2 linked regions of the Saccharomyces cerevisiae S288C genome follow. The protein of the gene in region 1 interacts with the protein of each later gene in a pairwise test. Each region holds a gene or a part of one and is shown in the gene's direction. Other genes may lie near its edges.

Evidence for each region. The genes of interacting proteins can lie anywhere in the genome.
Region 2: the proteins of NMA111 (region 1) and FAA1 interact in a two-hybrid assay, tested with the Saccharomyces cerevisiae proteins (one study listed by BioGRID).

What each region holds. Positions count from the first base shown.
Region 1 is NC_001146.8:393,086-398,197, forward strand, and holds NMA111 (Nma111p), read left to right. Parts: upstream 1-1,599; coding exon 1,600-4,593; downstream 4,594-5,112. Other genes in the region: NAF1 (RNA-binding snoRNP assembly protein), read left to right, coding at 1-1,285; mitochondrial 54S ribosomal protein bL35m MRP35, read right to left, coding at 4,938-5,112. UniProt on the Saccharomyces cerevisiae protein: Nuclear serine protease which mediates apoptosis through proteolysis of the apoptotic inhibitor BIR1.
Region 2 is NC_001147.6:907,344-911,957, forward strand, and holds FAA1 (long-chain fatty acid-CoA ligase FAA1), read left to right. Parts: upstream 1-1,999; coding exon 2,000-4,102; downstream 4,103-4,614. Other genes in the region: metal cation transporter COT1, read right to left, coding at 1-212; YOR316C-A (uncharacterized protein), read right to left, coding at 383-592. UniProt on the Saccharomyces cerevisiae protein: Activates long-chain fatty acids (LCFA) by esterification of the fatty acids into metabolically active CoA-thioesters for subsequent degradation or incorporation into phospholipids.

The sequences.
Region 1 (5,112 bases):
TTCTGATTCTGATTCTGATTCTGGCTCTTCAGGTAGTGAGGATGATTCTGCAGATCAGGACGTTGAAGGAGAGGACGAAGGTGGTGACGCGATTGAAAATGAAGACGAAGACGAAGACCCTTCACCTTCCGGTCCTATACTATCGAAGAACGAAATACTAGAGGAAACTGTTCCTGAACTACCGGAAGATTATGAAATTTCAGAAAAAACGATCATCACTCCTATTGGTGTTTTGAAGTCTGCATTTGAAAATAATATAATCATTCACGCCACGATGTCGGGCGAAAAGCGTGTTTTAAAAGAGGGTTCCATTTTCTGTCTCGAGGATAGAACTTTGATCGGGATGTTGACGGAGGTGTTTGGACCCTTGCAAAACCCATTTTATAGAATTAAGTTGCCCGATTCAAAAAAAAACTTATTCGATGAATTAAAAGTGCGTTTGGGTGAGAAAGCCTTTATAGTCACCCCTGATGCCCACTGGATAGATACTTTCGAGTTAAAGCGCAACAAAGGTACTGATGCGTCTAATGGGTACGATGAAGAATTACCTGAAGAGGAACAAGAATTTTCCGACGACGAAAAAGAGGCCCTTTTCAAGAAAATGAAGAAACAGCAACGGCAACGAAAGAAAAGGGACAACCGCAAACTAGCCAACGATAGTGACAATGTCAAGGTAAAGAGAGCTCGGCAGCCCAAGGCCAACAGTTTACCTAAACTGGTACCGCCGTTGGGCATGAGCAGTAATGCTCCGATGCAACATGGGTACAAATCAAGAAACGCACGTGAAAATATCAAGCGTGAATCCAGTGCTACCTCTAATCGGAATGGCTCCTCCCCAGTGCCAATCACACAGCACCACCAACAACAGTTTTCTGCAAATAATTATCCCTTCCCTCAACAACCAAACGGTATGCCTTATCCACCATACTCACCTTTCCCTCAGCCGACTAACTTCCAGTATCCACCTCCACCATTTGGGCAGGCGACACCGGCCCAATTCTCCAACACTGTTCCATATGGTAGCTTACCTCCCGCATACAACAATATGTCGCCGCCAACACAGCAGTCGTTCATGCCAATGACCCAAAGTCAACCGCCACTTCCATATGGCGTACCTCCCATGAATCAAATGCAAAACCCAATGTACATCCAACCGCCACCTCAAGCACCTCCTCAGGGAAATGGTAATTTCCAACAAGTAATGGAATTACATCAAATACTTTTGCAGCAACAGCAACAGCAACACCAGTATCAGCATCAGCATCAGCAAGATCCAAGAACCTAGAGTCACGATTGAAATATTTAATAATAAATGCTATGTATCATAGATAAACTAGAAAGAGGCAAGAAAAATTTAACAAGTTTCTTAATTGAATATTATTTTACTGTCACTACCATTATTAGACGCCATCTCAGCGTGTGACATGATAATTTTTCTTTTTTTCTTTTTTTTTCCTCAAGGCGATGATATGAAACTTTCAAAAAATTTATATGTAAATAAAAAAGTTCTACGAGGGTTTAAATACGGAAGTTTATTTAGAAGATATTTATACTCTGAATACACACGTAGAGTACAGTAAAGGTTTTTTAGATCTACTAATGACCATATCGTTGAGCAATATAAAGAAAAGAGACCATTCTAAAATTTCCGATGGAACTTCTGGTGAATCATCGCTTGTAAAAAGGAAACAGTTGGAAAGCGCCACCGGAGATCAAGAGGAAGAATATACAGACCATGAAATCATTATAGAGCCGTTGCACTTTGCTAATAATAATAACACTGTACTCACAGATTCAGAAAATTATCTAAGATGGCAAAATACCATCTCCAACGTTGTTAAATCAGTGGTTTCCATTCATTTTTCACAAGTTGCGCCATTCGATTGCGATTCTGCTTTGGTATCTGAAGCTACCGGATTTGTCGTGGATGCTAAATTAGGTATAATTCTGACCAATAGGCACGTCGTTGGTCCTGGTCCGTTCGTAGGCTACGTAGTTTTCGATAATCATGAAGAATGCGATGTTATACCAATTTACAGAGATCCTGTTCATGATTTTGGGTTCCTCAAATTCGATCCGAAAAACATAAAATATTCTAAGATCAAAGCGTTAACGCTAAAACCAAGTTTGGCTAAGGTCGGCTCAGAAATTAGAGTTGTCGGTAATGATGCCGGTGAGAAATTAAGTATCCTAGCAGGTTTTATTAGTAGAATTGACAGGAACGCTCCAGAATATGGTGAGCTGACATACAATGACTTCAATACAGAATATATTCAAGCTGCTGCATCTGCTTCTGGCGGTTCAAGTGGTTCTCCAGTCGTAAATATAGATGGGTATGCTGTGGCTTTACAGGCAGGTGGCTCTACAGAGGCATCTACTGATTTTTTTTTACCGTTAGATAGAATTCTTAGAGCGTTAATTTGCATCCAAACCAACAAACCTATCACACGTGGTACGATTCAAGTTCAATGGCTGCTGAAGCCTTATGACGAGTGTAGAAGATTAGGTTTAACTTCAGAGAGAGAAAGTGAGGCTCGTGCTAAATTTCCCGAAAATATCGGACTGTTGGTAGCAGAAACCGTTTTAAGAGAAGGCCCAGGCTATGATAAAATTAAAGAAGGTGATACTCTAATTTCAATAAACGGTGAAACCATATCTTCTTTCATGCAAGTGGATAAAATTCAAGATGAAAATGTTGGGAAGGAAATCCAATTGGTTATTCAAAGGGGCGGTGTCGAATGTACTGTCACCTGCACTGTTGGTGATTTACATGCTATCACCCCTCATCGTTATGTAGAGGTTTGTGGTGCGACTTTTCATGAATTATCATATCAAATGGCAAGGTTTTATGCGCTACCTGTCAGGGGTGTATTTTTAAGTAGTGCATCAGGGTCTTTCAACTTTGATTCAAAAGAAAGAGTGGGTTGGATTGTGGATTCTATAGACAATAAGGAAACCCCCGACTTAGATACATTTATTGAAATTATGAAAACTATTCCAGATCGTAAGCGCGTTACTGTACGATACCACCATCTAACAGATCAGCATTCTCCACTTGTTACTTCTATTTACATTGACCGTCATTGGTGCAATGAATTCAGAGTTTACACAAGGAACGATACAACTGGTATTTGGGATTACAAAAATGTTGCTGATCCACTTCCAGCCGATGCGTTGAAACCTCGTTCGGCCAAAATTATTCCTATTCCTGTTAATAATGAAAAAGTTGCAAAATTGTCATCATCGTTATGTACAGTGGCTACAATGGCAGCAGTTCCATTGGATTCACTTTCTGCTGATATTTTAAAAACATCAGGCTTAATCATTGATGCTGAAAAAGGTTATGTCCTAGTGTCCAGAAGGGTAGTTCCACATGATTGTCTTGATACTTTTGTCACCATTGCAGATTCCCTTGTAGTTCCAGCCACAGTAGAATTTCTCCATCCAACTCACAACTTCGCTATTGTTAAATATGATCCAGAGTTAGTAAAGGCTCCACTAATCACTCCCAAGCTATCTACCACCAGAATGAAACGTGGTGATAAGCTTCAGTTTATAGGTTTTACCCAGAATGATAGAATTGTTACTTCAGAGACCACTGTCACCGATATTTCCTCTGTAAGTATTCCAAGTAATTTAATTCCGAGGTACCGTGCCACTAATTTAGAAGCTATATCTATCGACTGCAACGTTAGCACCAGATGTAATTCCGGTATTTTGACAGATAATGATGGTACAGTAAGAGGTTTATGGCTTCCATTTTTAGGCGAAAGATTAGAAAATAAAGAAAAGGTTTATTTGATGGGATTAGATATAATGGACTGTAGGGAAGTTATAGATATCTTAAAAAATGGCGGTAAACCAAGAGTAAGTATAGTTGATGCTGGGTTCGGTTCAATTTCCGTTCTGCAAGCCAGAATTAGAGGTGTGCCCGAAGAATGGATCATGCGTATGGAACATGAATCAAATAACAGGCTACAGTTTATCACTGTTTCTAGAGTTTCTTATACAGAAGACAAGATTCATTTAGAGACCGGTGACGTCATTTTATCTGTGAACGGAAAATTAGTCACTGAAATGAATGATTTGAATGGAGTTGTAAGCTCAGCTGATGGTATTTTGCCATCAGCCATGTTAGATTTTAAAGTTGTTCGTGATGGTAATATTGTTGATTTGAAAATTAAAACCGTGGAAGTTCAGGAAACCGACCGTTTTGTAATATTTGCAGGTAGTATCTTACAAAAGCCGCATCATGCTGTTTTGCAAGCTATGGTTGATGTTCCAAAGGGTGTCTACTGTACATTCAGGGGAGAATCGTCACCGGCGCTCCAGTACGGTATATCTGCCACAAACTTCATAACTCATGTCAATGAAATTGAAACACCTGATCTAGATACATTTTTGAAAGTTGTCAAAACAATCCCTGATAATAGTTATTGTAAAATGAGGTTAATGACTTTCGACAATGTGCCCTTCGCTATTTCACTGAAAACGAATTATCATTACTTCCCTACTGCAGAATTGAAGAGGGACAACATCACGCACAAATGGATTGAAAAGGAATTTACCGGCAACAGCCAAAGTGAAAAATAGGCCAGATTTGATAAAACATTTATATATGTATGTATGTATGTATACATCAAAGTCTTCCATAAAGAACAGTTTTTTTATAGACTATCACAGGAGCGTTAAGATTTACAAGTTTTTCAATCATTTTGAGGGGTTAGGATTATGATGTCGAGATGGTTGCAAGCGCCTGACGAAATAGTATTTAATTACTTCAACGCTTGAATTCTCTAAGGTATTATCGATTGTATAAATTTATGGTTATTGTTTCATACTTATTTATATACATGAAGACCGAAAGCAAATACTCAAACAATTGATTTGGGGTTAACGGTGCGTTTGGTTTAGAGGAGAACATAATTATTCCACCTTCAATGATAGGGTAATAACCGCTTTAGATGCTTTGAATAAGCTGGATGGGCAATTTTCCTTCCGGTTAAGGCTTTTAATGATCTATGGGACCAGCCTATATTGCCATGTTTTCTTCCAGCTATGCCTCTTTTAAAAGTATTACCGGTACGCCTCCACCTCTTTGCTGTACCTTTA
Region 2 (4,614 bases), on another chromosome or scaffold:
TAAGTGTACGTTGAATCCGGATTTCTGTTTTTGGCAACATTTACGGCCCAAAGTGCAACCACAAGAGAAATTATATCGTTTAGCATATGGAATGAGTCCGCGATTAGAGCCAAAGAGTGAGACAAGTACCCGGTAGTTATCTCGATCCCGAAGAACACTGTGTCTAGCAGCAACAAGGATATAATTTTTACCTGTTTGCTTCCGAGTTTCATATTTACTCAATCTTTCCGTACTTTGTGTTAACTTTCTTTCTATAGCTATGCAGAACTATTCTGAGCAAAGTGAAAATAATTGGTTACTAAATAGAACCAGAAATGCTTTTCGAGCTCCCACGTAGAATATATAAGACCAATAAATTCCTTTATTGTACGGATATTCTGCATTACAAATGAGTCTTCTGCTTTATGCGGATCGTCAGCTTATATTGCCTTCGTACAGAAAATGAAAATTCACTACTGGAAACGGGTGAGCGGATGTATGAGTGTATAGTATACACCCGGTTTTTTTTACCCTTTCTAAGACCGGAGCTGGCGACAGTAAGTGATAAGCGGCCGTTGGCGGCCGTGGGTGAGTTATGCATGGGAACCAGCATGAGCCAGCGATGTTCACTATAAAGAGATTAAATGTAGAAAGTGCTGAGAGACCGATCGATTGGTAAACTTTTCAAAAGGTGGCCTTCTCCACACTTTCTTTTTCCCTCGTTCACTCTGCCTTGATCACATGCTTTTTTCTATGGTTAACTTTGAAAAATTCGTTCCATATCGCCCGCCACAAGTTAAAACCAGATATGCGTGGGATATAGTAGGGTGGACTGTTAAGTTAGCTATAATGGGCTTGTACTCTTTTTGAATACAAAAACCACCTTTCTACACCTTAATACAAGCGGTGGTTGGAAAGCATTCTTGATATATATAATTATATGAGTTTTGAAAAAAAGTACTGGGCATCATTTAAATAAGCGGGCTAAACTTTGTTTATGTTTAGGTTAACGATAGACATATTTATTTTTTTTTCTAGGAATAAAAATGAAGAACGGGAAGAAAAGGAAAAATGAAAATGAAGAATATGAAGAGTAAACCTACTTAAAAAAAAAAACCATACTTTAGTATTTAATGTAGCTACCACGCGTATTCGATACACTATTATTTTTCTTGACTTAGTATGTCAATTGTAGGTAGCCTCATGATGCCCTCTTGATCTAAGCGCGGTGAAAGTCCGCAGGCAATTGCTATAATACTGACAAAATTTATAAGGGGAGAGGGTCTTTTTTCGGTCCGCACGGAGCGGGCGAAGAAAACGTAGCGGTGAGAAAAGAATACGTCACCAAAGTATCAGAAACGTCACTGCGTTGTAGATGTAAGACCGATCCACTTTGCCAGCTGCTTACGCTGCGGAAAGTAAACAGACCTAGCTAGCGGACCGATAGAGCCGGCTGAACTTTATAACAAATGCGCCTTCTAACAAGCGATGAAGCCATGCTTAGCGCGGCAAAGAGAATTACTTAGAATATGGATGATGCAGCCCTGTCATATTCTTCCATAAGGGAATGACAAGGACAATAGTAAAGTCGATCACGCCCTGTCAGGAACATGATCTCCGCCATGTGAATATTTATGCATGATACAGGCACGAATACATCATATAATACGAATGACACAGGGGCACCCACCCATCGCATATCAGGAGAACTTCCCTGTGCATACGGGACAGCAGAGATAGGCTGTTCTCGCGCGTTTTTTTTTTTTTTTTGCTTTTTTTGGTTCCTTTCGCGGATATCGTATTATCGATATTACAACAAAAATGTTTGGAGATCTCCTTCGCTGTCTTTAAGTAAAAGGCTTTAACCGCTTATTTTTCTCTCTTTTTTTCCTTTTACCCCTCACTTGTCGTGAGACAATTGTAGTATATTTAGTAAGTATAGAAAGTTCTTGTTGTTAAAAAACTCGTTAGGATACAATAAAAACTAGAACAAACACAAAAGACAAAAAAAGACAACAATATGGTTGCTCAATATACCGTTCCAGTTGGGAAAGCCGCCAATGAGCATGAAACTGCTCCAAGAAGAAATTATCAATGCCGCGAGAAGCCGCTCGTCAGACCGCCTAACACAAAGTGTTCCACTGTTTATGAGTTTGTTCTAGAGTGCTTTCAGAAGAACAAAAATTCAAATGCTATGGGTTGGAGGGATGTTAAGGAAATTCATGAAGAATCCAAATCGGTTATGAAAAAAGTTGATGGCAAGGAGACTTCAGTGGAAAAGAAATGGATGTATTATGAACTATCGCATTATCATTATAATTCATTTGACCAATTGACCGATATCATGCATGAAATTGGTCGTGGGTTGGTGAAAATAGGATTAAAGCCTAATGATGATGACAAATTACATCTTTACGCAGCCACTTCTCACAAGTGGATGAAGATGTTCTTAGGAGCGCAGTCTCAAGGTATTCCTGTCGTCACTGCCTACGATACTTTGGGAGAGAAAGGGCTAATTCATTCTTTGGTGCAAACGGGGTCTAAGGCCATTTTTACCGATAACTCTTTATTACCATCCTTGATCAAACCAGTGCAAGCCGCTCAAGACGTAAAATACATAATTCATTTCGATTCCATCAGTTCTGAGGACAGGAGGCAAAGTGGTAAGATCTATCAATCTGCTCATGATGCCATCAACAGAATTAAAGAAGTTAGACCTGATATCAAGACCTTTAGCTTTGACGACATCTTGAAGCTAGGTAAAGAATCCTGTAACGAAATCGATGTTCATCCACCTGGCAAGGATGATCTTTGTTGCATCATGTATACGTCTGGTTCTACAGGTGAGCCAAAGGGTGTTGTCTTGAAACATTCAAATGTTGTCGCAGGTGTTGGTGGTGCAAGTTTGAATGTTTTGAAGTTTGTGGGCAATACCGACCGTGTTATCTGTTTTTTGCCACTAGCTCATATTTTTGAATTGGTTTTCGAACTATTGTCCTTTTATTGGGGGGCCTGCATTGGTTATGCCACCGTAAAAACTTTAACTAGCAGCTCTGTGAGAAATTGTCAAGGTGATTTGCAAGAATTCAAGCCCACAATCATGGTTGGTGTCGCCGCTGTTTGGGAAACAGTGAGAAAAGGGATCTTAAACCAAATTGATAATTTGCCCTTCCTCACCAAGAAAATCTTCTGGACCGCGTATAATACCAAGTTGAACATGCAACGTCTCCACATCCCTGGTGGCGGCGCCTTAGGAAACTTGGTTTTCAAAAAAATCAGAACTGCCACAGGTGGCCAATTAAGATATTTGTTAAACGGTGGTTCTCCAATCAGTCGGGATGCTCAGGAATTCATCACAAATTTAATCTGCCCTATGCTTATTGGTTACGGTTTAACCGAGACATGCGCTAGTACCACCATCTTGGATCCTGCTAATTTTGAACTCGGCGTCGCTGGTGACCTAACAGGTTGTGTTACCGTCAAACTAGTTGATGTTGAAGAATTAGGTTATTTTGCTAAAAACAACCAAGGTGAAGTTTGGATCACAGGTGCCAATGTCACGCCTGAATATTATAAGAATGAGGAAGAAACTTCTCAAGCTTTAACAAGCGATGGTTGGTTCAAGACCGGTGACATCGGTGAATGGGAAGCAAATGGCCATTTGAAAATAATTGACAGGAAGAAAAACTTGGTCAAAACAATGAACGGTGAATATATCGCACTCGAGAAATTAGAGTCCGTTTACAGATCTAACGAATATGTTGCTAACATTTGTGTTTATGCCGACCAATCTAAGACTAAGCCAGTTGGTATTATTGTACCAAATCATGCTCCATTAACGAAGCTTGCTAAAAAGTTGGGAATTATGGAACAAAAAGACAGTTCAATTAATATCGAAAATTATTTGGAGGATGCAAAATTGATTAAAGCTGTTTATTCTGATCTTTTGAAGACAGGTAAAGACCAAGGTTTGGTTGGCATTGAATTACTAGCAGGCATAGTGTTCTTTGACGGCGAATGGACTCCACAAAACGGTTTTGTTACGTCCGCTCAGAAATTGAAAAGAAAAGACATTTTGAATGCTGTCAAAGATAAAGTTGACGCCGTTTATAGTTCGTCTTAATGGATCAACATTTCCATGATAGGAAAGCCTCATCATACTAAAGCACTTTTTCAGTTTTTTGCTTTAGAACTGCTACCAATTATAAAATAGAATGCACAGGTTATCTTGTTTGGTTTGTTATTATCCTTTTTTCTTCTTTACCAGTCATATCACCTCATTCACGTATGTTCGTAATTTATAATGTTAAAAATGGCATATATAGATATATTTATGAACATCCTAAAAAATAACTAAATTTTTCTACATTTCAAAAAAGGTAACGTTGACTGCCGCATGGCAGTCTAATTAGGAGCTTAGTGATACATATATATATATATATAAATTTCGGCCAAGACACCTCACATAAGAAGCATTACCAGAGGTGTCCTGATCTGAGATGGACCCTGTCTCATTTGTTGAGTTGACAAAATATCAGGGAAATTGATTACCCTGGTGTGCACTGACTCCTTAGTACTCATTTTCACAGCTTCGTACACATCATGGAAGACAAACCATAGCAACCAGCCGCTCTC